2 linked regions of the Alligator mississippiensis genome follow. The protein of the gene in region 2 interacts with the protein of the main gene of each other region in a pairwise test. Links are inferred from orthologs where the notes say so. Each region holds a gene or a part of one and is shown on either strand. Other genes may lie near its edges.

Evidence for each region.
Region 1: the proteins of B-cadherin (region 2) and CBLL1 interact in a two-hybrid assay, tested with the Homo sapiens proteins (2 studies listed by BioGRID, with this or other methods). The link is inferred for Alligator mississippiensis from reciprocal best matches to the Homo sapiens genes CDH1 and CBLL1.

Annotation. Positions count from the first base shown.
Region 1 is NC_081827.1:28,116,012-28,131,800, reverse strand, and holds CBLL1 (E3 ubiquitin-protein ligase Hakai), read right to left. Parts: upstream 6,517-15,789; 5' UTR 5,530-6,516; coding exon 5,508-5,529; intron 5,194-5,507; coding exon 5,026-5,193; intron 4,631-5,025; coding exon 4,530-4,630; intron 4,228-4,529; coding exon 4,144-4,227; intron 3,175-4,143; coding exon 3,101-3,174; intron 2,510-3,100; coding exon 1,468-2,509; 3' UTR 831-1,467; downstream 1-830. Other genes in the region: SLC26A4 (pendrin), read right to left, coding at 13,801-13,824, 14,626-14,709. UniProt on the Homo sapiens protein: E3 ubiquitin-protein ligase that mediates ubiquitination of several tyrosine-phosphorylated Src substrates, including CDH1, CTTN and DOK1. Targets CDH1 for endocytosis and degradation.
Region 2 is NC_081833.1:76,122,026-76,138,046, reverse strand, and holds the start of B-cadherin, read right to left. Parts: upstream 8,063-16,021; 5' UTR 8,002-8,062; coding exon 7,957-8,001; intron 7,860-7,956; coding exon 7,748-7,859; intron 1-7,747. Other genes in the region: B-cadherin, read right to left, coding at 14,720-14,926, 15,436-15,582, 15,669-15,799, 16,017-16,021.

The sequences.
Region 1 (15,789 bases), on a different chromosome or scaffold from region 2:
GCAGAAGCAGCATAGATGCCTGACAGAGTCCCTTGCTCTGACCACTAGAAAACATATTTTATCTGCAAAGTTATAAAGTTTGGAATGTTCTGCCAACAGGGCACTCTGATAACCTGGTTGCTAACAGCTTGTATTGGGTAACAGATGAAAGAATGTTGAGAAACAAATTATGGTTTTCCACAAGAAAACCGTAAGCTGGATCCCAACAATATTTTAAGGGATACCATAAGGTTAGAGGGATACCATAAGGTTAGAAACCTAATTCAAAACTAAATTTTTTATTTATTTTTTACAGATGAATGTGGCTGATTACTGAGAGTAAATGAAACTTTAAAACTTATTTTTCATTACTAATGTTGGAATGCAAAAATGAACACCCTACTAGGACAATTAAAACAGAATAGATGGTTTCCCTGTGTAGCTCTGTTTAAACAATACTACCAGTAAATGCACTACAGGAATGTGAATTTCTTACACTTGTTTTTGATGGACTTAAGTTTTATATATAGTAGGTAAATGTCCATTATATGAAAGAAGGTGATTTTTGGGACATGACATAGCAACTCACTCAATGACACCATCTATATGAACACATATAGGTGGGCAAACATATAACACGAGTTCAACACAGCGAGAAGCACATGAGCTCTCAAGCGACACCTAACTTTCTGGACAAAAAGAGAGTTAAAAAAAGATTTTAAAATGTTAAATTAATATAGCTTTGCATCATGCCAGAGCTGCATCTTTTGAATTATTCATTTGTAATCCTGAAATTTTCTCAACTTAAAGTCTTCTGTTTGAAGTGCAACATACTGAAAGATTATAGCGTCTTAAACATGGAATAATCAGTTTAATGTAAACAATGTTATTTTGAAAGGATTTGTGAATGTCCGTCACACTAACATGACTTTTGGGAAAAGCGTTTGTGAAACATGAAAACATGAAACGGTGTTTCAGAAATAGTATATACTCTCAAGTTCACATAAAAAACCCAGCACTTTTACAACCATATTTAAATTTAATTATTGTACACAGGTTAACAAAAAGTTATCACAAGTAAAACTAAACATTGGATTTAACAAAAGTGATACTTAGAGTGGTACAATGGATGCTCAATTTTTCAGGAAATAATATTACAAGCAATCATCTCTGGGGCATGTCTAGCCCCACTAGGGACATAAGTTCTGTTAAAACATAGCTGTAGTCTATTAAGCCACTTATTTTAGAACTACAGTGTATTTGAAGTCCTATGGTCAAGGCTTAAAAATCCTTTAAGATTCAAGTGCCCAGAGTGTCTTACTGTCACAACAATGGTATTATTAATAAAAAAAAGAGAGAGAGAGACAGAGAGAGACAGAGAGAAGGAAAGAGAGAGAGAGAAAGCAAGAGGTCCAAACAGTCAGATTCATTAAAAGGCTGCTGTATAGTTTTTTCTCATAGCATACTCAGTTCACTTTACTGCTCATATCATTGGTAATAGGGTCTGTATCTGGCTTGATCTGGGTGGTGTGGTCCAGGAAGAGGGGCTTGAGAAGGTGGACCTTGCATTCTTGGAGGTGGAGGTGGCCCTCTTGGAGCTGGCCAGATCCCTGGACTCATTCCCCCTGGCTGTGTAAAAGGAGGGCTAAGAGTTCCTTGATCTTCACTGAACTGTGGTAAAGAGTTAGGATTATAGTGATGGGGAGGGGGTGCATTGACATTTACAGGTGGGCCACCATGCTGGGGAGGGGGAGGTCCTGGAGGAGGATGATTCATATATGGTGGCATCTGGGCAATGATGTGTCCAGGGGGAGGGGTTATTGGTGGAGGAGCAGAGGTCATCGGCGGTGGAGGAGCTTGGCTATAAACCATGTGAGGAGTACCTGCTGCCTGGGGAGGATGCTGCATTGGATGGCTAATTGGTGGTGGTGGCGGCGGGGGTGGTGCATAATGTTGCTGTGGAGGCATTATATGATGAGGGTGGGACACCACTGGTTGACCCTGGTATTCAGGATGATGATGAGCAGGTGCTGGGGCTGGTGGAGGTGGTTCTCGGGCACCTGAATTTGAATCATCCTGAATAGGGACAGTTATTAAATTGCTGTGTTTTCTTGTTGAGATACGGAAGGTATCCTGACTGACCGAGCGAGGAGGTGGTGGAGCCATTGACATCTCTGCCGGGGGCGCACGAATGTCCTCGTGTGGCTGGTTATAGTGCTCATGTGGCACATGCTGTAAAGGTGGTGGTGGCATCATGATGTGCTGCTTTGGCGGAATATGGCTCAAATGATGCTTATCAGGTGGCATTATGAAACGCTCAGGAATTTCAGCAGGAGGTGGGGCAATAGGAGGATGAACAGGTTCAAGTGGAGGACGGGTAACAGGTTTTCCAGCTCTCATGTGACGGTGGTTGATGTGAGCTTGTAAGTCTCTCTGAGATAAATATGTTCTCTTGCACCCTTGAACAATGCTACACATGAAGAGAGACCCTCGCACGCACTGCTCAATTCGCTGCACAGGCTCGTTACAGCTATATTGGAAAAAAAATCAGTTCATTGTCAAAGGCAGCTCAGAATCTAGACGTATTTACGCTAAAAGCCAATGCTTTTACTTCCATACCAATAGAAAAGGCTTGCATTTCCTAAATTAACTCAAATATTTCAAAACCAGTTTCCCCTAGAAGCAATTACAAAGTAGACTGGCATTTTCTGAAGTGTTGTTTATAATTGGCATCCCATGCAGGTTTATTACTCAACACAGAGCAGAGAACCATCCTGAGCTCAGAGTACATAATTGGCAGGTGACCCTTAACTGTTAGTGAATTGTCACTTCTTTGCAAATTACCAAGGGAGGGAAGAACCTAAACATATGAACTATTTCAAATCTCTACTACTTACATATCTGCAGTGAAGCTGAATCCCTCATCGTTTAGTTAAAACTGCTATGTTAAACTAACCTATCAGGTTCAGTAAGCACTATTCTTTACTACTTCTCTTACTGAGTCACGTGTTTTTTTCACTGTGTCAAAACTATGTACATTAAAAAAGATTCTGTGAAATAAGGATCCTTTTCCACACTTCTACGTTATCCCTTTTTAATAAACAAATTCCAGCTCACTTACCCTGGGCACATCTTGTCTCCCTTCTTCTCATGTAATATAGCACAATCATAGCAGAAAACATGCTTGCAAGGGATCTAGAGACATACAAATAATTGTTCTATTAAAACAAGATGTAAACAAGTAAGCCACCTGTAGAATATATTTTTTTTTAAAAGTTCTCATATTTTCCCTCAAGAACATGACTTCTTACTGAATATCTTGTAGAAAATAGATCTTTCTTCCATTAAACTGCCTATGAAACAGATAGATACAGCTCAGGAAAAGACATATGATACCGCTGATCAGATGGTTTCAAGCACTTAAAGATGAATGCAACTGAAAACAACATGTGACACATTTAGGCGAATCTGTAAATAAACAAATGTGCCACAAGCTTCTTCTATGGTAATATTAGCATCTATCCAATTATAGGCAATATTCTAAATTCATCCTAAGCATTAGGTTTGATTGCTATTTTAAGAGAAACAAAACCGATTACTATATAGAATTTACTAACTCAGCTGAAGTCTCCCATTAATATACAGTACTCTACCTGAAAAGGGTCACTTTAATGTTAAATATATATTATAGCCCTCTTACACATTCTTTCACATTAAAAAGTATTTTTCAACTAATTACAATGGGAACAAATCAAACATTGCATCTGCCATCCTTTCACCATATCTGCCATTTTGTTCCTTGATTCAACAAGGTAACAGCACAAAATATGTGGAACATGAATAGTTTGGCATTCTTGTACAAATTAAGTGGCTGAGTCTGAACTGAGATGCACAGAGATACCTCGTACTGGTTCTGCACAGCTCCCCTAAAATCAATTGGCCCTATAGTGGTACGTCTACTTGCTTCTGCTCTGAGATGCAGACCTTCTTTCACAATAATCTGACTTGAAATCAATGACTCCTATGTTTTCTTACAAATATTAAGTAGCCATCATAAATGATGTTACACAGCCACTAGCTACCTACAATTTTGCCAGTAAGCCACTGAGAACTACTTCTAAAACTGCTTCAAATTTTACCTTTTCCACAAGTAGCTCTACTCACCATGCGCCCATACATTTTAATAGGCAATCCACATTTGTCACAAAAATGGACTGGGGTATCATCCTTTTCTCCCAGCAAGTTAATCTGTAAGGAACAGCAATATTATGATGGCTTATTTTCAATATTACCAATATGCTTGCAAGCTCTTAAATATTTCTTAAGAAACATGGACCTGTGCACAATCTGAGAAAAAGGACAAAATACCTTTACAGCAATGCTAAGAGTAAGAGAAGTGCTTATTTTTCATTTGGTTTCTGAAAGGGTAAGCAGGATGCATCTCATTTCATTTCTACACTTTAAAGATGAACTTGCTCCCCATGTATTTAAAAGTTTAGAGAGCAATTTAATTTATATTATCATCCAAACCACTGCATCCAAGATTGTACCTTGAAGTCCCAAAAGATGGGTCCAGGGAATCTTCGTTGATTCCCAAACATTTCACCTCCTTTGCATTCGTATCGTTCCTCTTCATTATAATCAAATTCTTCTGGGGAAAAATGAGACCATACTTCAACACAAACTATTACCTTTCTAAATGACTCAGACTGATTTTAGTATAGAATGATGAGCATTTTAAACAACAATCAGAAATACTATGGCATTTCAGTGTCAGCTGGGCCTAAATCTAATTTTATGCTTAGATACTTTCTGCAAAAAGAGGAACAGAAACAGAATAAAAAGAGTACTCCTTGTTCTTTGGAGGCAGGGGCCATTTACTGCTTATAACACAATATGTGGATGTCTCAGTCACATGTTCTTATGTGTTCGCACAGCACCTAACATATGAGGGCTCCGCTACTGAATGGGGCATCTGACCACTACTGCAAAACAAAAAATAAATGAATTCCCTCTCCTCTCACAGCACTAATTTATTTAGTTTACCATCATCACCAGCTTGTGTCTTTGACGGCATCCTGTTCATATTTCTTGGAGTTCGAGGTGCAGGTTTGATTTTGTTGGTTTGCTTGGAGATAAGCTTTATAGGGATTCGTCTGCGAACATCAAGACCACCCAATGATCCAGAACTATTAGTTCCTTGCAAATCATTGTCTATACAAGAAGAAAATATGTTTATTGTAATTTCCTGGTTATTTTGCATATTAGTTTCTAAAAAGTTAAGTAGCAATCTAGACAAATTAGAAGTATAACTCTGGTTTTATTAAAGCTAATTTAAGATTCATTTATTGTACCAGACACTACTCATTAGAAGGAAAAAAAATCAATCTATTCTGGAATAAATCAATCCATCAGCTCTTCAAGGCAAGGCCTTTTTTGTGCGTCTGTGTAGTGCCTAATGGTAATATTGGCTCACTATACTATAAAACCTCTACAAAACCATAATATTTTAAATTATGTTCTCTTACCATGCTGGGTCATTGTAATCATCACAGTGGACAAGTTGTATAAAAAAAGTTTCCAAACTCTTATCTTGATATGAAGAAGCCCTAACACCTCTCACCTAGTTTTTCCATTTCATCTACAAGCCCAGACCATAGTTTAAATTATAAGGTAAAAACAAACTCTTTTTAAAGAGGCCCCTACAACCCAATACCCTTTTTCCTGCAGCTATGTAATACATTTTGGGTTCATCATCATTTGAACTGGCCAGAAGAGGCTGGAACTGTTGCTTTTATTTCATTTAACAGTGACCCCTTCTGGCCCATTTCACATATAAGTGACAAACCATCAGATTAAAAGATCATACAAGTTGTATTATTAATAATACAGTAGTGCTTAGACAGCTTAGCTAAGATTAGGGACAAGTCCATTGTAAGCCTCATGCTTACAAACTGAACAAATTACATAAGGGTTAGAAGGAAACAGGTGTGTAAAGGCAAAGTGATGGCTGAAGATCATTTAGCAGTTCAGGTGCAAAGCCAGGAACAGAACAACTGTATGTACTCAAATAGAAGATGACCCTAATGATAAGATGACCCCCATAATTACATTCTATATATGGAAAATATAAAAATGTGTTATCATTTTCCAGATATAGAATCAAATTATTGGAGGCTTGCCTCGAATTTGTCCCCCTCTCACTGCTACAGCATGTAAACCAAATTTGTGGGACCAGGTAGCCCTTTGCTCTCTGCTTCCCCCACCATTTTTTCTCTAGCAGACCCTTCCCTTTCTCCTTACTGTCAGACCCTGCTCTCCCTGCACACATGGAAGTGAGGAACAAATCTGAAAACAATAACCTTGAAAATAAACATGGGTATATCAATTTGCATATAGTACCCATGCATTGTCCAGTAATCTATCCAGAATTGATGCTGCAGGGATGGTGCCCAGTTGGCACCTGCCAGGTTATTTTGAGCTGTGTGCAGGGTTCTGACCAGCCAGTGCAGGGTCATTCCAAGCTGCTGCCTGCCAACGAGTGCCAATTTGCTTCGGCACCCTCTGACGGGAAACTGCACATGCATCTCAAAGTGACCTAAAGGCGCCAGCCAGGCACTGTCCACACAGCATGGGATTTCTGGCCAGCACATGCTGAGTTGCTCTGCGCTGCTGCTCAAGCAGCAAGTGCTGGGACAACCCAGCTCACAGAAAGGGACCTGGCGCTAGGCTGCCAGCATGTGCCAGGTTGCTCCAGCACCCACTACTTGAGCAGCATCTCAGAGCAACTCAGTATGCGCTGGCCAGAAACCCTGCACTGTGGGCACAGGGCATGGCCTGCACCTGCTGCATTATTTTGAGCTGTGTGTGTGGTTTCCAGCCAGAGGGTGCCAAAGCAATGCGGCACATGCTGGCAGGCAGCTTGGAGTGACTGCACTGGCCAGCCAGAAACCCTGTATGCTGAGGGGTGCCCAGGTGCCCTCTGATGACTGACCACATACTAGGTGTCTGGCCATGTGGCCTCCTCACTAACATTGACATCCCCAGTGCATTTTCTGATTTCAGATAAGTCGTATGCAATCATAAGACAAGGCTTAATTTTTCCCATATTGAATGGGGGGGAACCTTGTCTTATAATCGAGAAAATATGGTAAATTTCTCTGACTCTCAAACCAGTGTCGTCTCAGACTCAGCACTTGCCCGTTTTGCCGGGTGGTCAAGTGTACCCATTTCACACAGTGCTCTGAATGCCACCATTACAACGTGAGTGTACTTCTTACCTTCTATTAAAAATTGTTTCTAGTTTTATTGGAATTTTTGAGGAGGGGGAGGGAATAGGTTTTCCACTAATTAAACCAGTTCCTCAGTCAAAGTGTATTTTAACTCATGGATCTCTCTTTTAGGGACCAGAGGACTGGAGCATCACAGAGCCAATACTTGTAAGGTTAAGGGTGTTCTTGACTTTAGGAAACCATGCCTCTTGTTACAAAAACTGTGTTGCTGCTCATTAACATCTGTTAGCAGTCAGCAGCACAGCAATTCCAGTGAAGTCGACAGGGAGAACAATTTTGAGGCAGTACATGAAGGGCCAAAAAACTAAAATTCTCAGCAGAACAGTTGTGCCTGCACATGCAGAGCAAAAAAAGTCATAAAGCAAACACCTTTCAGTTCCTCCAGTCCACACCACTGCCAGTGCAGACACCTAAACGAAGGCTATGTTCTATTCTAAAACCTTCACGGGAACTGAAGGTAATTAGGGGGCTGCTTTGGTACTGACAGTGAACGAAGTATGAATGAAGGATCTACTAGCATGGGTAAGATGGCTAAGCCAAGAGGAAAAAATATATCTGAAGCATTTAACAGGCTCTCTTGGCATACAACACAATACAAAACAATGGACTTGCACTGTAAGCTTTCTGAAAGCTCTTCTGGTACAGAAAGTATTTTAGATATAAAAAGTACATTCTCTTCTGTACTTTTTGGGCACAAGATCTTTGGAGAAAACTTTTCTGAACAAGGTAGCTCCTCAGGCTATTTATATACCAGTTCACTCCATGTACACTAACTGTACAAACTAGCACTACAGGTGAAAAAAGGTAGGCTGAATATTAGGAAACTTCCTGTTAAGAGTATCATTAGGAAATGATGCAGTGAAATCTTGTAGTCTGTATACATCTTATTTCGTTAGTCTATAAAGGTACACATCTACCTCGCCTTCTGAATGACTTCAGATTAACAAAGCTAACTACCTCTATTAGGAAATGAAACATTTGCAGGTGTAGAGTAAAAACTAGCCCAGAAGAGACTATCAGAGCTGTTCCTAAAAGTGGGATAGATGAACAAAGAGCTTTTTAAAAATCAACTAAACTCTACTGGCCTGTTCATCTGGTTTAGGTCTACAGACTCGAGAAGCCAATGGAGTTACAGCAGGAAATAATGCGACTCAAGGAAGTTTCTAACTTCCTATCATCCTTCTAACCCAGCTAATAACCTACAAGGGTCCACCGAAAAATGAGAATGCTCTTACATGACTTCACTAGTTTTTTTAATTTAAGTTTTTGGTTATGACCTGACACATTTTAAAGGGGCACCAGTCAGCATGCACTAATAGCACACACTTAATCCCGCACTGTGAGTTTGGATTCAGCCCCTTCCCCACACCTGTCCCTGGGCACCCTGACCTCTGGGATCTGTGGCCTTTCCACTCCAGGCCATTCCCCAGGCTCAAGCTCTCTTTGCACAGGAGTGACTACAAACGCAGCCAGGTCAGGTCTGGAGGCCGGCAACAAAGTTAAGAACAGGTTCGTATTTCTGGGCTGAAACCCAGGCTCAAGCCCCTGCACAGCAAGCTGCAAGCGGAGCAAGAGAGCCTCTAGACAATGCTCAGGACAGGACTTTTTCCAGGGATCGCGGCTCACTACGCCATAGGAGTGGGGTCAGATGCAAGAGTCTGGCACCGCAGCTGCCTAAAGGCCAAGCAGCTGGGTAAGGGGTTTCAAGCCCACCGCCCTGGGGTCAGCACCGAGACCCTCCAGGGACCCGCTGAACGCCGAGGCTGAACGGGTGCGGCCCAGCGCGGGCACCTCGATCCGGCCCCTTAGGGCGGGCCCGAGCGCGGCCGCTGTCACAAGGGACCGCAACGAGCGAGGTCGACGGCAGCAACCCCCGGCCCCCGGGGCTAAAGCACGGGCCGCCGGCGGCCACACCCGGAGCCCTCCCCGTCCCGGGGCGTCAGCGAGGGGAAGGAAGCGGGGGCGGGGCCGGCGCCAGTTCGGGCTTGGGGAGGCCGCGGCCCTCGGCTCCGCTCGGCGCGGGCTCAGCCCGTGGGGCCCAGGCCTCAGAGCGCGGCCCGGCCGCCGCCCCCGGAGCCCCGCCGCAGCCAGCGGCAGCGCCCGCGAGCGCCGAGGCGGCCGGGCCGGGCCAGACCCACACAGGCCTCTCTCCCTCCCTCGCCCCTCCTCACCATTGTGGTCCATGATTCGGCGCGGGGCACTGTGGGAGCGGAAGTGCCCCGCGCCAGAAGGGAGGAGCCGGAAACGACTGAAGGGAGAAACCGGAAACTCGCTGAACAAGGGGGTGGGACGTGCCCGCGGGACAGCTGGGGGGGGGCCGTGGCGCGCGATGCGGCGGAGTGGTCACCATGGCAACCAGAACACTGCGCACCCGAGCGGGCAGGGCGGAACGGCACGCCGCGCGGCATGCTGGGAAACGTGCTTTGCCCTGGCGCCGGAGCGGGCCTGGTGCATGCCGGGAGCGGCAGGTCCCCGCAAGCCTCGCCTTGGCCCCGGTGCATGCCGGGAGCTGTAGTTCCTCCCCCCATGTTGAGGTGGTCGTAGGCGGCGCCTGGCTCCGCAGCCGGTCCTCTGCACAAGTAGCGTGTGTCTGACAGCGCCCGTGGTTGCTGCGGAGAGCTCCAGCCTGGCCGCGGCCTACCAGGCCGTCGGAGCCAGGCTAACGGGGGTGTAGCCGGGGGGCGTCCATGCCACCCCCTGCGTCCTTTGCCCTGAATTCATCCTACCGGGCAGGGGAAGGACCAGGAGGTGGTTTCCCGGGGAGGTCAGATCCCCTTGAATGGCGTCGCGTAGGGCAGGTGGAGACGGGCCCGATGCACTGCAGACAGGCCCCCTACCACGGTCTGCCCTAGCAGCGGTTCCCAACTTTGTTTGTCCCAGGACCCATTTGTAAGCATGGATGGCCAGTGCCCCTCGCTGCCGACCCGCGGCCCCTGTGTGCGGGGTGAGGGGAACTCTGCCAGCTTGCATGGGAAAAGCCACACTGTCATGTTTTTCACCTTTAAAGGAGAATCCATTTCTAAAGTGTGTTGAACCATTTCTGAAGTTTGTTCGTAACCTTTACATCTATTCTTGCGACCCCACCTTTTGGGTTGAGACCGACAGGTTGAGAAACGCTGCACTATTGCTTCTTTGGCCTGTTGGCAAGTAAGACTCAGAGGCATCCGAACCCCCAGACCTCTGGGTTTGGGGCCTGCGTTAGGAAGCCTGCCATGCATTTGGGAGTGTCTGAAACCCTAGGCTGAAGAGCCCTGGAGGGAAAATACTTGCCAGTGGTAATGCTATATGGGCCTGAATGACTCGGCCCTGCTCATCAGATGAAATTCAGAACTAATTTGACTGATTTGACCAGAGACACAAAATTTAAAAAGACAAAAAACAAAACCTGAATGAATCCCAGTTAAAATCCCGAATTTTAGCCGATTTTGGATTTTAAACTTCGTTACAGAACAACAAGGAAGTTTTTTTGCCTCCCTGCCTGCCATCTGACATCTCCAGGGAAGGGATTCTACCTGATCAACACATCAAAGAGCTACTTAACACAGCTCACAGACACTGTCATGGACCCAGAGGGACAGACTTCCATCTTCAGTTCCCCCTGTGCAAAAATGAAGTTTATTTCCTGCCTATGGGGACTTTTGACCATCTTGTACCATCTACACTTTTCCCAGAGACCAACGAAGGGACTTTAATCCCAAAAGCTTGCAGGAAAGGACAATTTTCTTGCCATTTTCCAGTTGGTCTAATAAAAGGTATCATTTTGGAACCAAGAGTCCTAGTTTTTGTATATCCCAGTTAAAATAGCACTTAAAAAAAAATAGGTCCAGTCCCCCCATGGCCAATCTTGCTGTGCGGAGAGGTGGGGGGGGTGTCCCCCTGCGGCTCATCTCACTGCTGGGACGGGCCACAGCAGCCAATCACTGCTGCACCTGCTTCCAGGAGTGGCTGCATCTGTTTCTGGGAGCAGCTGCAGCGATCAGCCAGTGCTTGCAGGGGGGGCACTGGCACTCCTGCCTGCCCCCCATTGCCTAAGCAGTGAGCGCAGCCAGTCAGGGGGTACACTGGTGCTCTCAGGGGGTTCACATGCATCCCCATGCACTCCCTACACGTCGCCAGTAATTGGGTCCTTGCTCAAATGGTTATGGCTATGGAAGCTCTGGCTACAAAGTGGTTTGCTGCATACAGTGTGGATAGGGCAGCAGGCCTGGAAATAGGGGTGGCTCTAAAAAGGATCAAAGTGTATAGGAACCGTTAAGTTCTGCTAGCACCTAAGTGCTGCAGGGATTAAGAACATAAGAACTGCTATTTACTGTGTCAGACCACAGGTCCATCTTGCCCAGAGTCATGCAGTGGCAATGTCCAGTTTCTGTCCGCTTTGTATTTCATGTCTTGTAATGTTTTAAATGTGCAACATCCTTACCCCAGGTAATTTCCTTCCTTTTAAAAATGTAACTATTCTCCTATCTAAATGTATTTATTAGTAGTAACAGTGGGGAACCATCATTTCTTACATAGCTGTTATTGCTTTAAAACTAGGGGTTAAAATTGCATAGCTTTTCTTGTAATCTTGAACACTGTGTAAATTACTATATTTATGCATTCTCACTAACTTACATTAGCATTGTCTCTTTGATATGTTCTATTACAAGAGAGAAAGGGTTAGTTTATATCCCACTAAACCAACATTAGATAATGGGTCTGATTCTGATAACTTTACTCAAGTTTCAGAAAAACCTACCATATTTTTTTGGCTTATAATACATATTTCCCCCCAAAATTCAGGTCCTGGAAATTGGGGGGGGAGGTGTTATGGTCAAGAAAATATGGTAACAGCAGTGCTTGCTACTTCAGCTTCTGCCAGGGGAAAGCACAAGTAAAGGGGCACTTAAGCACGCTGCTGCTGGCACCGGGCACTTTCCTTCCCCTCCCCACCTCTCCACACCCCTCCCCCCCCCAGGCTTTCAAGGAAGGATCTTTATTTCATTCTGCCTTTCAAAAATAAAATGGATTTTATTCAGGGGTGTGTTATACATGAGGAAGAGACAGCATTCCCAAAGTTCTACCTTCAAACAGACTAATTATGGACGAAGGCAATATCATAATGCAAATAGTATCAGACTAGCCCCTAAAAATCATAAGTTTGCAATATATTACCCGGTCAAAACATTTCTATATATGTTTGATATCAATTATGATCTTTAACAGTAGGGCCTGGTTACTAAAAATAAAATTAATGAACCAAGTTTCTCAAATAATAGTGTCTCCTGATGAGCCCAATTTTTATGTGGTTATCATTTTTGTAGTAGTACAATAAGTTTAATTTTGCATGAATAAATTTCATCTGTCCTCCATTTTGATTATGTAACAAAGTTTTTTTATAATAAAACTTTAAACACAGAAGCAAACCTAGGAGTATTTATAAAGAATCACCAAGATAGATACTTTTTTAAAGATGTTTTTGCTGAATGGGTGATAATGTTCTGCGCATCAACTGCATGGGATTGAAGATATTTTTGCAGGTCAGGGCCCAGAGTTCTTACTGCCTATTGCTGCTTTTGTTCGAGGAATATATTATAATCAATTATTTACGTTACAGTAGCATCTAAAGATGTCTCCAATTGTGCCAGGCACTGAACAAACCAATCCAACGAATTTGTAATCTTCTCAATGCTATGGACTATGTTACCACAGAATCATAGAAAATTAGGGTTAGAGGGGATCTTGGGAGGTCATCTAGGCCAAACCCCTGTTCAAAGCAGGACTGTCCCCAACTAAATCATCCCAGCCAAGGCTTTTCTAGCAGGGTCTCAAAAATCTCCAAGGATGGGAATTTCACAACCTCTCTGGGTAACCTGTTCCACTGCATTACTACCCTCCTAGTAAGAAAGTTTTTCCTAATACCTAAACCTAAACTTCACTTGCTGCAACTTGAGACCATTGCTCCTTGTTCTGCTACCATCAAGTGGCTATTTTTTCCTATAAGTATCAACATAGTATTGGGTCATTTACATCCACCAACCCTAAAACTAGTTGCAATTTCTGTCATGTTGGAACGATGTTGTAGCCATGATGGTCCAAGACATATGCAAAAGGCAAGAATTTTTGTTGGTGATATCTTCTATTGAACCAAATGCATTGTTGGGATAGACTTTTGAATGCAATGTATTCTTCAACTAGGCATTGTATTTGAAAGCTTATCTAAGTTTATCCCAACCATGCAGTTCATCCAGTAGAAGCCGTCACCCACGCAAAGCCTTGCCTCCTGAAGTTTCTAGAAGCTATGATGATCTGCCTCCAAATTTTAACAATGGTTGCTTCTGCGAATGAGTTCTGATCAAATGTTTTGAGTAGTTCAAGGGTATTCTGTCAACAGACAAAATGTAGACATTTCTAGAGATCTGTAGAATTCACAAAAGGAAATCAGTGTTTTCTTCAAATGCAAAGACTGGTCCCAGTTCAGATACTGGTTGTCTAATGTTGGTGCATACATAGTTTCACAAGTCCACAGCATGACAACATCCATTTTTCTTCATGATGCAAGCCTGCGCATTGCCTGTTTGCAGTAATGTTGAAACAGTGAGGGTGGAAGAAAGAGGAGAAAAGAGGTACATGATTAGTTCTGAGTACACAACATCTCTTACAACATTTTTGCACATGCACTGCTATATAAGCAGCTCAGTCCTGGATGACTGAATCTGCTAGGAAATATTCTTAAAAGGGCTGCAGTCTGAAGCAGTCTCTCTGGCTGATAGCTTTATCACAGATTTTGAGCAGGATTCTCTCCTAAACCCAGTAAAAACTGGCCATGAGAGGGCAGGAGTAGAAACCATCAAATATATTGCCAGTCTAGGATAAGACAGTTTCTTATTCAGTCCCTGAGGTAACCTTAACATCTTGGGAGGTAATTATGTTTCTTAGAACCAATTTGTGCTTGGAGGCAGACTGAACAGCATTTCTTAGTTGAAAGCAGCAAGCTTTTACAGAGCAGACGCAGGCATACTGCCTCAAGAGTGCTGAAGTGGAGATGCATGCTTACACAAGGTGCCGGCTGTACTTTCCAAAAAAAATAAAAGATACTAACTTTTTCCACTAGCATTGTTCTCCAGGTACACAGAGACACACTAACTGTTCTCTCGCCTCACTTCTTGGCATGCATCTCAGCCAATGCTTTCCCTGAAAGGGCCAGCCAGCTTCCAAGTTTTATGCAGCCCACAAGGCTGTGATATTTTGCGGGTGAGGAGTTGGGAATGCCAGTCAACTGGCCCAGAATATTGTATCTGCATGACTTGTTATGCTACTTTATTAAGACAAAAACAACGTAAATAACAGCTGCATGCTCTATGTAATGGCATACCTCCTCCTGAACATCAAGTTCATCTTCAGGTCGGCTTGTTTCCGTGAACTCTATTGGTTCTTTAGATTCTTGCATGAGTGAAATCTTAACAAAGAGAAGTAAGTATTGTTAGCTAAAGGAACACTGTGGTAGTACAGGTAAAGCCTGAAATGTTTGAATGTTACTGCCTTATCCTGTAAGAACTTTTTGCTTTCTTAGATAGCGTACTTTGAGTGTTTGCCTCAGGAGTGAAAAATGGTTTTGCACTTAACCAAACTCAATATAAACAATGTTTTTAGTCATAAAAAAAAATCTTGAACTTTTTGTGCCACCTGACAGCATGTTGCCTTGTTTCTCAGAGGCACACATTATATGGAGCCAGGCTGGGATGTGCTGTATATCAGGCCAGCCCCACATGCCACATCCAGTACATGTCCCAGACTAGCCCTGTGTGCTGCTTAGAGCGTATTTGCCGAGTCCAGCTCCAAGTGCTGCATGGGATATGCGCTAGCCTGTAGCACTGGGTAAGTTTGATACCCCAGCTCTAAATAATTTCAGAAGTGCTGTGGACATCCAGGTTTAAGCACCTTGGGCATGTCCACACATGCAAGCACGTGTGCTTGCAGCAGCTCAAATAAAAGTGGTGCAAATTTGAGCTGGGGCTTTTTTGCTTCAGCACTCGTGCTCGGACATGTACTTTATTGTGGAGCAAATTGTGCCACTTGGGGCAAAATAACCCTGTCTGGCTCCTCACGGATCTGCAGCCAGGGGGAGCTAGAGCCTGGGGCCAGCACCTGTGCTGTCCCAGCAGCATAAAAAGCTGCTCTGTCCTGGTCCCAGCAGTACAAAAACCTACCCTGGCCAGTAGCTCAGGGTTATTTGACCTCAGGAGCTTCTGGGGCCCAGGCAATTGGTATCTGGGGACACTAGCCCCTTGCATCAGCTAGACTGCTGAAGCAGCATCCCAAATTCACTTTTTAAAATATCCCAAAATCCACATTCTTCCGCAATTAGAACAAAAGAGAGAGAGAAAGGGGGACTGATCAGATGGGCGATGTTTTATTATTATATTTACAATGTTAAAGAAATTTGGAAGCCTGTCAGTGTCTCTAACATCATAATAAAATAAATCCTAAATATCTATATGTTTTAATGTTTGCTTTGGGTTTCCTTATCACATGGTAG
Region 2 (16,021 bases):
CCCCGGCCACTCACATCCGTGCCCGCTAGCCCGGGGCTGCGCTGCCGCCCGAGTAGTGCCGTCACCACGAGCCCTGCGGCAAGGCGGCGCTGAGCATTTCCCAGGAGGCAGGCAGCAGGGAACGGCTGCCAGGCTCATGCAATCCCAGGAGCCTGCAAACCAGAGACCGCAAGGGAGCACTGGGTTTTCCAGTCCGTCTGCCTCCTTTCTGGAGACGTCGTGTGTGTCACAGCCGCTCCCCCGGATCGCAGCTAGGAAGGGGCGGCAGGGCTCACCTGGCGCTGTTAGAGGCGACGTGTGGGGACCCATGGGTGCAGGGGTGCCCGGGCGGGAGAGCAGCTGACACCCCTGGTACCTGCCACGGTTCAGAGCCCTCGTTTCGTCACGGCCACGTGGTGACGCAGCTCTCACTTGAGCTCCGTGGTGCTCACCCACTCCTCCCAGTTAGGAGCTGCTTGCAGAGGGTGGGAAGCTCTGGGCAGCTGCAACCCATCCACCCCCTATCCCAGCCGCGCCTTCCCCATGCTCTGTGCATTGCTCAAGGCCTCTCCGTGGCCCGGCAGAGGGGGCAGCGAGAACCCCAGTGCCACCGCGGTGCCAGCCTGGAGCCGCTCCACAGGCGAGAGCCACTTCTGCACTGCGTGCAGCCACGGCCCCTCTTTCCACGGCGGTGAAACCCCAGCCGTTTGCCCCAGCGGCAGAGGCAGGTGCGTGCTGACGTGGCACCGCGTGGCTCAGGGCTTCCCGAGTCAGCTCCGGGAAGCAGGTTGCAGCAAGCACCGAACAAACGCTGCCCGGTCCCCAGACCTCCAGCCCCCGCAGGCTGCTACAATCCCTCCCCCGGTCCGGGGCTGGGCAGGGGGAGACCAGAGTCTCACAGCCGGGAGGGAGCAAACCTAGGGTCCTGTGGCCACCAGGCCCAGTCAGCAGCGGTCTGTCCCCTGCTAACTTGGGGTACTCGGAGCCGTGCAGGGCCTTGGAAGCATTGGCTTCCAGGACTGCTATCGACTGGGAAAGACCCCCGTCCATTGTGCTCAGTTTCCCATCACACAGGCAGAAAACGAAAGCTGGAAGGGAGAGCAACCTGGGTCTGACCACGGGTTTTCCACGGTCCCTCTCCCTTGGACCTTCCTCGACCTGGAGACTGCGACTCAAGGGCCGTGCCCCTCACTCCCTGCTCAGCCCCTTTGCTCCAAGCATGTCCACTCCCTTGGTGGATCTGGCCGAGCTCTCAGTGTCCACCACATCCAGCGGCTGTAACCTCCACGCGTTAGTGACCCGTGGGTGAAAAGGAACTTCCTGGTGTTCGTTTTGAACCGACTGCCTACTTATTTCAGTTTGTGACCCCTGGTTCTTGCCTTGTGAAAGTCAATAAGAAATCCCCATGGACTTTCTCTTCACCAGTTAGTATTTTGTAAACCCTTCTCATATCTCCTTTGCTAAGCTGACCCGGCTTGTCCCCTCCAGTCTCAGCTTGCATGGAAACCCCTCCGTACCCCTCATCCGGTTGCCCATCTCCGGACCTTCTCGAGTCCTTCTATGTCCTTGCTGAGGTGCGGGCACCAGAACTGGGCGCAGTATTCAAGGTGTGAAGGCACTATGGATTTATAAATGGGTATGATGAGAGGGGCTCTCGCACCCTCTCGGCCTGTGCCTCCCTCAGCAGCAATGAAGCCTCCTGCAAGGGGGGGCCCAACCGCGTCCAGCAGCCTGTCCTGGGGAGAGCCGGGCAGCCCTATGCCCCTGCCTGAGGCAGGGAGATCTTTTTTTTCTTCTTTAATCCAAGTCCCAATTAGTACCAAATGCAACTGAGCAAAGCTCAAAAACTGAGCCTACAAAAATCCATGGGTTGTAGGACTCAACCGGGCCAGCACCCTGCCAGGACTACAGACCTGGGGCTTCAGGGGCTCCCCAGATCCAGGCAGGCAGCCTTCATGCAAGTCCCAGGCCTCCGGGATTTTGGATGCCCCCAGTCATGCTTGATCTCAGCCGGGGCAGGGAGGCAGGCTGCGCCCCGGGAGGGAAGGGCCTTGGCTATGCAGCAGGAGGCAAGGGTGGTTTGCACCTTTCTGGGCCCCCAGACTGAAGGCAGGGCAGAGGTGCCCCTTTATAGACCAGCAACATCAGGTATGGATATAAAGCACGAGCTTTCTTGAGCCCAAGTTCAGTATCAGACTAACACGACCAACAGCCTCTCGGTGTAACAGGAGACCAAGCCGGGTGCCACCGTCCAGGGCAGTGCCTCTCCAGGGTGGTGTCTGTGCCAGGGGCAGGGCGTGGGCAGACAGCAGAGCTCAGCTTGTGGAGCAGCACAGGGATGCATCACACCTCGCCTCGCTGCACGCACCTGTCCTGCTAGGAATATGCAGGAGTCCTTTGTATAATCCCCCCGCCATGAAAGCTTTCACTTTCTGCCCTGTCCTTCCTTCCAGCCAAGTCTCCTTCCACCCCCTGCTTTCTGGCATCCCAGCCAAGAGCGTGCCCCTCTGGGGTCCCTGCCTGGCTGCAGCCCGGGGGAGCTGCACGTTCATCCCCAAAGCCCCGGGCTCTCGTGGCAGCAGCTCCCAGCTCAGCAGCTTCTCAGGGGTGCCGAGGTTTCACTGCGTCCCCCTGCACTGCCCCAGACCCAGCTCTTTTGGAAAGTACCTGGAGACCTTTCACATTTCCCAAGGGCTCCAAGGAGGAGCCAGAACTTTCCTGTTGCCTGGGGGAGCCGGCTGCCTGGCAGGAGGCAGAGACGGGATCGGGTTCCCCGCAGCGGGTGGAATTTAAAACTGAAACACATTGGGCAAGGCCCCAAGTGACCCCACCCCACCCAGCTCCTGCACCCAGCTGCCAGGGCCTCAGTGATCCAGGGAACTAAGTGGCTGCACGGACACCTTCCCCAGGCAGCTAGACCCATAGCGTCTCTCTGCCATGGGCGCAAGGCTCTTGGGCCATGCATAAGTGATGGGACCTGAGAGCTGATGGCTCAGCCTCCCAACGGGCGATGGCTGCAATACGCCTGGTGCCGGGTGCGTTCACAGTGACGGCCTTTGAAGCACGGAGGCTCCGGCACCTCCTGGGGCACATTTTCTCCGCAGCCGGTGCCATGCTCCGAGCCAGCCCCCTGCATCCTGGCCAGCAGAGCCAACCCCACGGCCTCACTTGCACCGACCGGGGCAGGGGTGAAGGAAGACACTGGTCTTCCTGACTGCTGGATGCCGACAGCTCGCATGTGGGGCTGCCTCAGTTTCCCTGCAGGACCCCCCTTGTCGACTCCAGCTGCAGTATGAGCTGCAGGGGAAGGTGCTGAGACCCCAGCCCTGGGATGCTGTGAGCATGTCCCTGCCCCCATGCCAGACCCAATCGCCATCCCAGCCAGCCAGAGTCTGAAAAGGATCGCCAGCGCTTTAAGACTCTGACCTCCTACCCCCACCCCAGGTCAAGGTCTGGACCGAAGCCATCGTGTGGCACGGGGGGTGTCAGCGCTAAGGACAGGGTGCGGATGCAGAGCTCCGCTCGGACATTGGTGCCCAGGGATCAGGACTCAGCGTGGTCACTCCAGCTCCTGGCTGGGCAGGAGACGCAGCAGCCTCCAGCCCAGCCCCGGGGGCAGGTAGAGCAGGAAAAAGCACTTCCTCCCCTGCCTTCCCGGGTTCCTGCCAGCGGCAGGTTATTCCAGCCCGGCTTTGCCACCCCAGCCCAGGTGGGAGCAGAGGCCTGGAGCACAGGACCCGAGTGCAGGGGCAGCCAGGCCGGCGTGCCCCCCCAGCAGGGCCCACTCCCACATGCGCAGGGCAGGGCTGGTGACATCACTGAGGAGTTTCGCCCCGGTCCAGACTGGCTGGGCGAGTTTCTCCTGAGAGCTGACTCAGACGCCAGTCACCTGCGTGTGTACACAGCGGCTGTGCCACCCCCAGCCGGGCTGGGAACGCGCCAGGCATGGCGCTCAGCTCTGGGACGCCAGCCAAAGCCTTGCCAGGCTGCAGGAGTGGCCGGGGCCGTGCAGGGTGGGGCTGTGGGGCTCAGCACAATGGACCCACCGTGGAGGGACCAGATGAGCTACAAATCCTCTTCCAACGGGGTGCATAGGATTACCTCCCCCTCCACTTGAGGCCACTCTCGGGTGGAGACAGGGCTTCACCCCCTTGCCTGTCGCCCTGTCGCTGGCTAGCCTGCCTACAGCTCACTCCCAACGCCCTTGGTGCTAGTTGTTGCCCCCAACCTACAAGTCCCAGCATGGGTGCACAGGGATTTGCCCAAGGCACCACGAGCAGTCAGTGGTTGGGAATGCTTGGCTTCCAGCTCATCCCCTCCCCGTACGGCAGCTCCCCCCAGCAAGCTGGCGATGGAGGCGCGGGCGCTCCCGGGACTGCCTCGAGGAAAGCAAGCAGCTGCTGATGCCCACAGGGAATCACCCAGCGGGAGGCTTTCCTCCACACAATTAATGCATCCCGGGCAGCTCCATCCAGCCCTCCGAGGGGAATCCTCAGTGACGGGTCTGCAGGGAGGGTTTTGGGTACAGTCCAAAGCACCTGGCCACTGCCCAGGAGCAGCCCTGCTCAGGCACTAAGTGTTCACAGCGGGTCCAAGAGAGCCCCTCGTGCCTGGGTTTTCCTCCTGCCCCCACGCACAGGCCTATCCAGACCTGTCTGGGAGACACCATCCTCTCAGCCGCGAATGGACCCAAGTGCAGTTAGGGGGTCAAGGCCTGTCCGGCGCACTGCAGGCAGGCTGACCCCGCGAGTCTATAATGCCTCCGATGGGGGCCATTGATGGTGACGGGGGACTGGTCTCAAGCTTTGCCCCTAGCTCCTTCAGCCGTTCAGCTCAGGGCAAGCAAGACCAGGGGCACCTCAACCTCCAAGCCTCTGGGCTTGCACGTAGGATGCCTGCCATGGATGTGGGAACTTCTGAAGCCCCAGACTGAAGAAGAGTCTGGAAGAGAGGAGACTTGCCGGAGATATCGCCACATGGACTTGAGCTCTGCTCAGTCAAAATTCAGAACTAATTTGGCCCAGAAACAAAATTTGATTTAAAAAAATCCAGACAGGTCCATGGGAGGGGCCTGCCTGGGCGCTAATCCCCTAATTACAGGCCAGTTCTGCCTCCCTGTCACTGTGGATTATCACACCAGAAGCCTTGTGCCCTGCCAGCACCCTGGCACGGCCGCCCTGCTTGCCCGGCGAGGCAGTCTCCAGCCTCCTGCGCCCGGGGACCAGCTCTTCCGCTGGTTGTGGGCAGCTGAGGCCTTACAGGTAACCTGTGTGCAGCTCCCGGGACAGGGCTACAAGGGCTCTCTCCAAGCTACGTCTCACCAGCACTGAGCTGCCTCCGGTTGCAGCCCCAGGTGGACACTGTCTACACTGCCCCGTGCCCTTGGGGGCACCAGCACCTGCTGGGCTACTCCGGTCTGCAGCCAACAGGCTCCTGGTCCCAGGGATGGGAGTGCTTTGCACAGGGACTCTCCTGCCACCTGCTCCTGGGCTGAGCCTCTCCAGAGGGTCAAGCCGGCTCCAGGGTCTCGAGTGCGGGCAGAGAGCAGGGAGGAGACCTAGGGCCATGTCTCTGCTCTCGGCCCCCGCACCCGCCCCTGCCAAACTTTTGAAACAGAAAGCAGCGGGGCTGGGAACCTGGGGAATTCCCACTCAAGGAACCGGGGCAGTTGCACAGAAGGGTGGCTCAGGCCAGCGGGGAAATCACCGGTCGTGGTAGCGTAAGGCAGGACCCCCGGGCAACTCGTGATCAGGCAAGAACCAGAACCAAGTGTCCCAGCTGATTTGGAGACACTGCTCTGCACCACGAGCTGCCAGGAAGGCACGGGTGCCACGGGTTTCCCCATGCGTCTCTCTGCGACTCCTCTACTGGCTGCCTCTGGGCTCTAGCATGTTCCCCCTCAGACAGGACGGAGCCAGAGCTGCCTCGCAGCAGCTGTGTTGTCGCCACCAGCCTCGTCACCCATTAACCAGGAGCAAACAGCACTTCCATCGCAACCTCTCGAAAGCCCCAGCGCAGCCCAGGACCCCCACACACGCCATGCTTTGCAATCCCAGCACCAGCCGCCCCCACGCCGGCTCCCTCCCCCAGCTACAGCACAAATGCCAAGGGAAAGAGGAAGCGTCACTGCTAACTCAGGCCTCAGACCAGCTCCCACAACCGCTGGCATGCGAACCGGGGAGGGATGTGCCCCTGCAAGGGGCTGGGGCAGGCTGCATGCAGCAGGTTGGTGTAACTGCAGCAAGCGCAGCAGGCTGGCTTGTCTGGACATAGCACCCACATCCCACCAGCCGGCAACAGCCGCTAACAAAGTCATGGACAACGAGCCACGCCAGGCAGCGCAGTAGGTACAGCCCAAATTACGAGCTGCATCAGCACCCCTCTGGCTCTGGGGCTCAGGTGCCAGCAGGCAGGTCTTTGGAGGCCAGCACAGACCACGCACTTCTCCAGCCACCCCTGCTGCTCCTGCGGGCCCTGGGGACAGTGCTCTGCCATCACTGAGAGGATGCACAAGACCCGTCTAGTCGGCTGCCTCCAACCAGCTCTCCCCAGACAGACCCCATTGCTCCCTGCCAGCCAGGAAAAAGCCCCTGGTTGGCAAAGGGAAGCCCAGCTCATGTGCCAACCCAGGGTGGGAACAGCTTCAGCCTTCTTGCAGCCTGGACATCATGCTGCGACTACCTCGGGGAATGGCCCGTGCATGTGCTCTCGCCCCACGGCAGGTGCGGGGGACCCTGCTCTGCTCTGGGGCAGGAGCGCACACACACAGACAGCTCCTGTGGCACAGCTTCCATGCCCTTGCATGCCCTGCAGCGACTCCTCCACATTGCCAGACCCCGTGGGCTGGCAGCTCCTGCTGTCCTGGTGTCAGCCCTCTCAGGGAATCCCCAAAACCATGACCCTAGGGTGGGGACCAGCAGACCAACACAGCGCCCCCCAAGCAGCTGGGGACCCATGCCCCTAGGAGCTTGGGGTTGGGGACACCCCAGATTTACAACAGCCTGTCAGGTCAGCCCTGGGCAGGGGGCTTTGGCAGCCAGGGGCGCCCGGCAGAGAACAGAGAGGCCCTGCACTTGCTGTGAACACCACCATTGAAACAGTGCCAGGCATTTGTGCAGTGCCAGGGGAGAGAGCTGCCCCCACCCTGCCCCAGACAAAAGCACCCCTGGACCAGCTCAGCCCACTGCTTGCATTTGCTCCTCGCCCGCCAGAACCGACTGCCCAGGCACTCCCGAGCGCAGCCCTTGGCCGCAGCGTGCTGCCCTCCAGCTTCCTGTTTGCACCGCCCCAGCGCAGGGCGAGCCGCGGGCGGGGAGGTGGCACCAGCCGTGCCTGGTGCGATCCATCAAAGCCGGGTTGTCAGAGTTCAACAGTCAACCGGAGCCCCGCGCCCGCCCAATGCGAGTTAGAACAAGCCTGCTCCCTCCCTCCCTCCCTCCCTCCCTCCCTCCCAGCGCCGGGAAAGGGCAGGTGGGAAGGGGCTTTGTGCTGCTCTTTGCCTTTCCCTGCCAGCGGCCAGCCCGCCCCTCTCTCGGGGCCTTTCAGCACCTGCCGCCCCCCCGGGACGCTGCACCAGGACGGCACGGGATCCTGATGGGGAGGGGCACTGGGCACAGGGACCCTGGGGGGTCCTGGAGCATGGGACGCAGGGGACTAGGGGTCTCGGCACGGAGCACGGAGGGATTAAGGGTCTTGGGGCACTGGGCAGGGGGGCACAGGGGCACTAGGGGTGTCGGGTCCCCTGGGCGACCCGCGGCGCAGCGCTCACCTGAGCCCAGGACTCTGCCCCTCTCCAGGCTGTGCCGGCGCACGGCGAAGGTGAAGGTCTGGGCGCTGAAGCCGGGCTGGCAGCGCGTCTCCTCGCACAGCCCCGGGCCGGCCTGGCGGGGAGACAGCGTGAGCCGGGTGTGGGTGGGGATGGGGATGGGGATGGGGATGGGGTCGGGGGTCGGGGTGGGGTCGGGGCCGGGGTCTCACCTGCAGCAGCAGCAGGAGGCAGAGCGCGGCGCCGGGCGGCCCCATGGACGCGGAGTGCGGGCCGGGCGGGCGCGGCGCGGGCAGGTGAGCGGCCCCGGCTCCGCCCCGCAGGTGGGTCGGGACGGGACGGGACGGGACGGGCCGGGATGGGCCGGGCCCGGGGGAGGTCCTCGGGGCTGCGGGCGGGGGTTTCCGCCTCCCCCGGTCCTGCCCCTGCCCGATGCGTGTGCGGGGCAGGGCGGGATTCCTCCTCCTCCTCCCCCGCATCGCGCTGGTCCGGCCTGGGGGGCTGCCCCTCCCTCCGCACCCGCGGACCGGCACCCTCCTGGAGAGGCGGGGCAGGGTGTAGAGCTGGGACACGGGGTTTGATCCTGCCCGGGGTGACCCCCGTCTCCTCCCCATAGATTTCATAGACACTAGGGCTGGAAGGGACCTGGGACCACCATCGAGTCCAGCCCCTGCCTGAAGGCAGAAGTCAGCTGCGGTCACAGGATCCCAGCAAGATAAGCATCCAATTTTTTCTTGAAGGTGTTCAAAGTGGGTGCTGGAACCACGCCGGTGGCAGGCTGTTCCAGACCTCGGGGGCTCGGACAGTGAAGAGATTCGTCCTTGTGTCCAGCCTGAATCCGCTGCGACGGAGTTTGTGACCGTTCAACCTCGTCATCCCTTGGGGCGCTGTGGTGAACAAACGTTCCCCCAGGTCCTGGCGGTCACCCCTGATAAACTTATAGGTGGCGGCGGACTCTCTGAGACCAGACGTGACAGACCTATGCCCTGCCCCATACGTGACCACTCTCATGGTCTTAGGAGGCTGCCCCGGGGTGCCAGGCACAGGGGATCCGGCTGCCCCCCCATCAGCAGGGCTGTAGCACCAGGCAGGTTTCGGGGTCAAGGGTGTCATGTCCCGGGGTGCTGTTTGGGTGCATTGGCTTTGCAGCCCCCCTGGGGAAGACCCCAACAAAGTGCCGATGCTCGACCCCGTGCGCTAGGGACACCCGTGACTGGGAAGTGGGACCAGGGACCTCAGCTTAGAAAGCAGCCAGCAACCACCAGCAGCTGCAGGCCCCGGGCCCCAACCTCAGGAGCCACCAGGCCTTCGAGCTGGCCCCAGGGCAGGGGCAGGAGCCAGAGAAGTGAAAGGAGAAGGGGAAGGTGTCTTCCCACACCCTGTCTGAGGGCGGGCGGCTGGGAGCGGATGCTGGGCAGGACGAAGGTGACAAACAGGGCTGACAGGTGAGGCGTGGGGCCACCTCTGCCCCAGTAAGCTCAGCCTGGTGACGGGACATGCCGGGTGGGGCTGCGTGGGCAGCAGAGCTCGGGCATGAGCTGTTTGCTGCAACTGCAAGCGTGCTAGAGCCAACTGGCCCAGCGCAGGGGTGGGCTGCTAGTCCCCCCATGCAGAAGGGACCAGGGCTTTTGCTTCACCCCTGCAGCTTCCCTCCAGCTGGGCCCCCACAGAGCTGCATGGATTGCATAAGGCAGGAAGCCTGGAGCGGGGCCTGCTGTGCCCAGGTCTTAAGGGCAAAGTTCTTGCTGAACAAACACCGAAACTGCAAGTGCTGCAGTGGCTCAGCTCTGCTTCCTGTCCCTGCTGGTGTGGCCAGCCGGATGCTGTAGCTGGACTCAAGGGCAGCCCGAGGCAGGGGCACATAGGGAGCAGGCAGGCGGCTGGGCCTGGGCATGCAGGCACCACGTGCTGCAGATGAGACGGGCTGCGGGGGATACAGCAGAGCTGGCCCCCGTGCAGGAGAAGGAAGTGCACCTTGCTGGCAACAGCTGATGGACCAACCACAGCTTGCGCGCCCGCAGTCGCCACCACGACTTCCTCCTCACTCTGCCTCCTTCCTGGTCTGTCATGCCTCCCAGGAGCCCAGGCATCGTCCGCTCCCATCCTCCTGCCTGGGGTCACATTGTACCGTATCCTTTCCCCCACCCCGTCTTCTCCAGCCTGTGGGTCAGCAGCAATCAACCTCTGGCCTGCAGCTATGGCCAGGGCACCTACCTGCCCTGCTCCTTCCTGCGCTGCGCTCTCAGCCATCCACCATGCGCTTTCCAGGCCCTCCCTAGACCACCCGTCACTGTCCCCAGTTCACGCAGCCTCCGATGTCAGCTCCAGCCTCCCTGCCTGGGCACTGCACCATCAGACCAGCCTCTCGCTGGGCCCCGGGAAGGGGCTCCTGCTCCTTTCAGTCCCTCCTTACCACTTCCCTCTCAACAGCCTCTGGTCCTGGAAGCCCCGTGGGGCAAAGGTCATGCGTCTGTGCAGCACCCTGGCCCAGTCATCCCCACAACACCCGGCAGCGGGCTGGTGACCACCAGGCTGGTGAAAGGGGACGCTGCCCTTGAGTCCAGCTTCCCCTTCCACTTGCCCGGCTCCTGCTGCTTGCTGGCAGGTGATGGAGAGCAAACGTGGTGCCAGGGCTCCCACGGGCATGCACTGGCCAAGTCGTGCCTTAAACATTGAATTATTCACTGCTGGCTCCGCAGGGACAGGCAACTCCAGGCCTTTCCTTCCATCCCAGCAAGCAGGTGCTCTCCTGGGTGCAGTCCTGCCCAGCTCAGTGCTCACCTGATGACCACAATCTCTAGCATGGCCCTGCGCCAGGGGACAGAGGGACCAGGGGGCATAGGCTACCCCTAGGACTAAGCATGTGCCTGGAGGGCGCCTGCTCCCTGTTCTGACCTCAGCAGGAGGAGAGCAAGGTTCATCGTGGAGCATGGGGAGGCCAGCTGGGCCATGGGCATGTCCTATTCGAGCAGCCATAGTCCTTGCCCTGAGACTAGGAACAGGGCCCAGGCACAGGAGAGCTGGACCCTACCCGTGCCAGGAGCCCGAGGGGGTGGTATCCTTCAGAAGTGCAACGTGGGGAGAATGGGCAGCAGCAAAGGATGGAGAGGGTGATGAATGGGCACAGCAAACAAAGCCAACAGCCAACCCACTTGTGCTCAGTGCCGTGCCCGGGGTGCCGGAGGGGAGGTGCGAGCTGCTTTGCATGGCCAGAGCCTTGCTCCAAACACTGCCAACAGCTCCGGGCAGGAGCGAGGAGGTGCCCAGGCTCCTGCCCCACCCCTTTCTCCTAGTCACGTCCTTCGGCATGGAGAGGCCTGGAGCTAGGGGTCGGGGTCACCCTCCCAGGACCAGATGGGGGGGTAAGAAGAAAGGGGGCAGTAGCCAAGTGGGGCAGATCCCTCCTGCCGCAGGGGCTGCCCATGCCTGCCTCCTTTGCATCCAGGGCCCTGCATGCATAGTAGGGTTTGTTTTCGTACCCCCTACCCTCCCACTGGAAACATGGCTCACGGACCTGTGGTCCTAGCTCCAAATACACCTACCCCAAGCCACTGAGACCGCTGTTGCTCCACTCCCCCTCTTCCATGGGTCGTCACTGGCGGGTGTTGGGCTGGCCCCCAGCACCCAGGTTGCATGGGAAGGTGCTGCGGAGGCAACTGAGGAGAAATAAGACCTCTGCCTTATTGCTCACCGCTATTGTCAGGAGCCATCCTTTGCACTGCCTCCTGCCCCTCCAGCCTGTCTCCAGCTGCAGCTGCTGTCCCCAGAAGGCCCCTTGGGGTGGGCTGGGGCTCCATGGCACATCGCTGGCACCTGCACGTGGGAGCATAGCCAGACAGCTCCGACCGATGCCAGCAGCGAGCAGGTGGCACAGGTGAGCAGCCACCTGAGCTGCACCAGTTACTATCATCCCTGTCCCAGCAACCCGCGTACCAAAAGCAGGGGCAGCAAGCAGGGCATGCCAGGCCAGGAAGCCCAGCAGCCGAGGGGGCGAGCGCACCCAGTCTGCTCTGCAGCCCGGGATGGTTTCAGAAGCACCCACAGCAGCTCCCCAGGGCTGCCAGGATCCCACAGGCTCAACTGGGAGGCGGGCAGGGTCATGCCAGTCCCAGGTGGTAGGCCAGGTGCCTGGGCTACAGGGCAGGGATGCATTCCCTGCTCCCAGTGCCCGCCCCAGGGACCGGTCCCAACCCTGTGCCATGCTGCCCCCTGCTGGGCAGAGAAGGGAGCCGGGCCCTCCCACGCCCTGGATCACTTCGGGGTGCAGAGCTGAGCCGCAGGACGTGGGGGTGGTGGAGGGTGCCTCCTGGGACACCCAGCCGGGGGGCTGCTCTGGGGGAAGCTGGGCAACACAGGGGCAGGAGATGGCTGGGGAAGAGGGCCCTGAAGGGCTGCAGCACCCGCGCCGGAAAAACCAGTCGGACCAGTCACCAGGCTGCTGCAGAGGCTGGGGGGATGGAGCAGTCCCTGCTCCCCCCCACACCCAGCCTCAGGTTACAAGCTGCTTTCTGAGCAGGGAAGTACCCCCTCCCCCTGGGCCCCTGCCAGGATGCATTACTCCAGGCAGGTGAAAGAGGCCAGGTGAGGCCTCTGCTCCCAGGCTGGGGAATCCCAAGTCCCAGCCTCAGCCCGTGCAGGCAGGCAGCAGCCATCCCCCCAGGGAGGTGCCCAGCTGGAAGCTCTGCAGCCAGTGCTCATCCAGGCTCCTGGCTTCCTCTCCTAGCTCTCCATGCCCCAGGCAGGGCCATTTCTTCCTGCTGCAATGGGAAAGGTGCCTTTTGCTATCACTGGGGGAATCGCAACAGGCCACCCCTGTCCCATGCACAACAAACCCATCCCCCAGTCCATTAAGGCAGCAACTCTGGGTACTGCTCCCAAGGAAGTCCACAGCCCCCATAGACTTCCTGCAAGGACCCAAGCACCAGGTCCCGGGCTCCAAAGAGGGAGTCCCAGCAGAAGGGCTCTCTCTGCCCCCACAGCTCCAGCTGTTCCCAGCAAAGCCGGAGCAGCCTGGGCCAGCTGTGGCTGCGCAGCCCCCACAGCACAGGGGAGTTGCTGTCATTATATCAACTCCACTTCCCCCACAATGCTCGTTAGCAAGGCCACAGGCGAGAGCCCAGGCTGGGGGGTGGCAGCAGCACCCAGAGCGAGGCAGCAGCTGAGCTCTCTGCAGAGATAAGAGCTCTGCAGGTGGCTTGACCTGGCCAGCCTGGCCCCCTGCTCCAAGCCCTTGCAGCACCAGCCATGCCCCAGGGGCACCAGGGAGGGTGTTCAGCTTACCTATGTTGCTGTACACCCCACCCCCATACCACGAGGGTACCTGCAACTCCCATGCCCAGCCCAGCACTGCTGCCCGGGGAGCAGGGGGCAGAGCAGGCAGCCCCTGCCCTTGGAGGGTGCTACCAGGGTCACATTGTGCTGCATCTCCTTCCACTGCACCTGGCTGGGCTTAGGCCTCATCTCACCCCCGGCGGTAGAAAAGAGGGTTATAGCAGATCCAGACTGGAAGACAAGATGCTGGGCCTTGCTGCGGCTCTAGCTCTTTGCTGCACAAGACCTGCCCTAATTATTGCCCTGTAGTTAACAGTGAAAGCTCAGAGGGGGTAGTTTCCGAGGGGGGCTGGAGGCTAGTGAGGGCGAGATGTAACAAGGAATCTTTTATAGGGCTGCAGCGAGACCACCCCTGGAGCGTCGCATCCTGGTTTGGGCACCGTGTCCTGGAGGAAGAGGTAGGGAGAGAGGGTGGAAGCCTTGAAAACCCAACGCATGAGGAAAGAGCAAGAGAACTTGAGTAGTTCAGTCGAGACAAGGGAGAAGAGAGAAATACAATAAATTGTGGTGACAGCCAGGTAAGCCTGTTCTGGAAGCAGATGAGCAGTAAATCGGTTTAAACGACTGCAAGGAAAGCCTCATAGCCACGTGCTTGTTAAGCACTGGGGCAGATGACCTCGGCGATGGGACAGCCCAAGTAAAGAACAGGTTCCAGGGGCCAAGCGAGATCTGAGCCCAGGAGAAGAGAGGGCACGGCCCGGCCTGCCTTCTGCAGGCTCCCAGCTGCCTCAAGGCACTGGCCCCAGGCATTGTGCCACCACTGTGGCAGGGCTGGGTTCCACGGTGCTTGCCCCCACATCTCAGACACCCCAGCACTTCCACCCCAGCCCGGCTCTCAGGACCCCCAGCAGCTGGTTGCAACTCAGCAGCTCCAGTCTAAGCAAGGCAGCTGGCAGTGCTTGTTGCACCCCTGCACCAGGGGCTGGAGAGGTCAGAGCACAAGAAATAGTACAAGGCAGTGCAGCAAGACCCCTCGGTAGGGGAGGCCTCACAGACAGTCCTGCAGGAGCAGGTAGAGACTAGGGCTAGCGCCAGTGCCAGCCCCCTCCCGGCATGTCCTACCCTACCATGCAGCAGGCTCCACTCCCCCCTGCCCCAGGATGGGACTGGTGTAAAGAAGCAGGAACTCAGGGCACTTAAAAAAAAAAAGAAGTACTTTTAATAAAACTAACATGGTAGGACCGTCCTGGCCAAGCAGCGCCCACATCGCGCTGGGGATAATCGTACAAAGGGAGGGGAGAGAAGCGATAGCCATGGGGAGGTACAAAAAAGGAGGCAGCAGCTATCTGATGCTGCAGGGAATGGTTGGATTGAGGCGGCAGCGGCATGTGCAAGGCCAATTTGAGCACAGCCCCAGCCGCGGGCACGGGGGGCCAGCTGGCCCAGGCTGAGAAGCCAAGAGCCGCTGGCCATGGGGGGATACGGGCTCCTAGCTCCACAGGGGATGGGTCCGTGCGTCTGCACGTCCAGAAGGCACCAGCAGCTTAAGGCAGAGAGCTACAGGTCGGAGAAGCAGTGGGTTCAGCCCTGCAAAGGTCTGGGACGACAGCCCCCCCGCGGGGTCTCCTGCACGGGGACCCGGCTGCGTGGGGCTGGCATCCAGCTTCCACACACGTTGCTCCGTGCAAGGCACACGTGGGGCCCTTAGTCCTCGCCGCCCCCATACATGTCGGCCAGCTTCTTGAAGCGGCTGCCCCAGTCGTGCAGGTAGTCGTAGTCCTGGTCGCGGTCAGAGCTGGTGGAGTCAAGGGAGCTAAGCGAGGCGGCCTCGGAGCCGCTGCCCTCGTAGTCAAACACGAGCAGGGAGTCGTAGGGCGGCGCCGTGGGGTCCGTGTCGGCCGCCTTCAGGTTCTGGGGCCGGGAGGAGGCAGCAGGTGAGCATCTCCCTCCCTGCCCTAGTGCAGCCTGGCCCGTGCGGGCTTTGGAAGTGGCTCAAGCTTGGTGTCCAGAGACATCCCGACACCCAGCTTGAGTGGGGGCTGTAGAGCTCAGCTGGCAGAGACTGGAGCCCCCCACCCTCATGAGACCAAGAGCTTTGGGGCAGGAGGACATGGCCTTGGAGCCAGAGTAGTGCTTCTGCACCGAGCCCTGCACAGCACCCTCCTCGTGGCACCAGGACCTGCCCCCCCAAGGCAGCCGAGCATGGGGACCTGACTACACAGCACTGAGCCACGTCCTCAGCTAGGATGGAAGCACCCAGAAGACTCAACCCTTTGCCTCCAAAAGCCACGAGAAGACCCTGGAGTGGAGGGCAAGCCCTCAACCCAGGCATGGACCAGGCCCTGCAAGGACACAACTGACCCCAACACCATGTCTTGGGCTCAGGCCAGCAGGCACGTACCCCCACCCACGCTCCTCACCTCATCGATGAAGTTGCCGATCTCGTTGGGGTTGGCGGGGCGCGGCCGGTACTGCGGGGTTGGCACGAGGGTGGGCACCACGTCATTGCGGAGGATGACCTCGGGGCGGGCATCCAGGCCCCGGTGCAGCTGGCTGAGGTCGTAGTCCTGGAAGGTAGGTACAGCATGGGGTCAGCGCCCAGAGCCCCATTACTCCCCTCCCATCCTGCCCCACTGCCTCAGCCCATGCCCACCTGGTCCTCCTCGCCCCCGCCCTCTTCTCCATAGTAGAAGATGTTGTCCCGCGTGTCGTCCTCCGGGAGCAGCAGGGGCTCCTTCCCTGACTTCCTCCTCCTCCGCACCAGGAGCAGCAGCAGCAGGATGACTGGGGAGACAGGGGGGCTCAGCCAGGCTCCCACCACCCCGTCTCCCAGCCGGGGCCGCACCAGGGCCCCTACACGAGGATGGAGGGGGCTCCAAGTTGCAGGAGGCCCCTTCTCTCCCAGCACAGAGCTGCGCTCCCTGGGAGAGGCTTTGCAAGGGGCCAGCCTGCGTGCAAGCCTGGGGACTCCCAGAGGGTCTGGCCCAGGCCACACACTCACCCAGC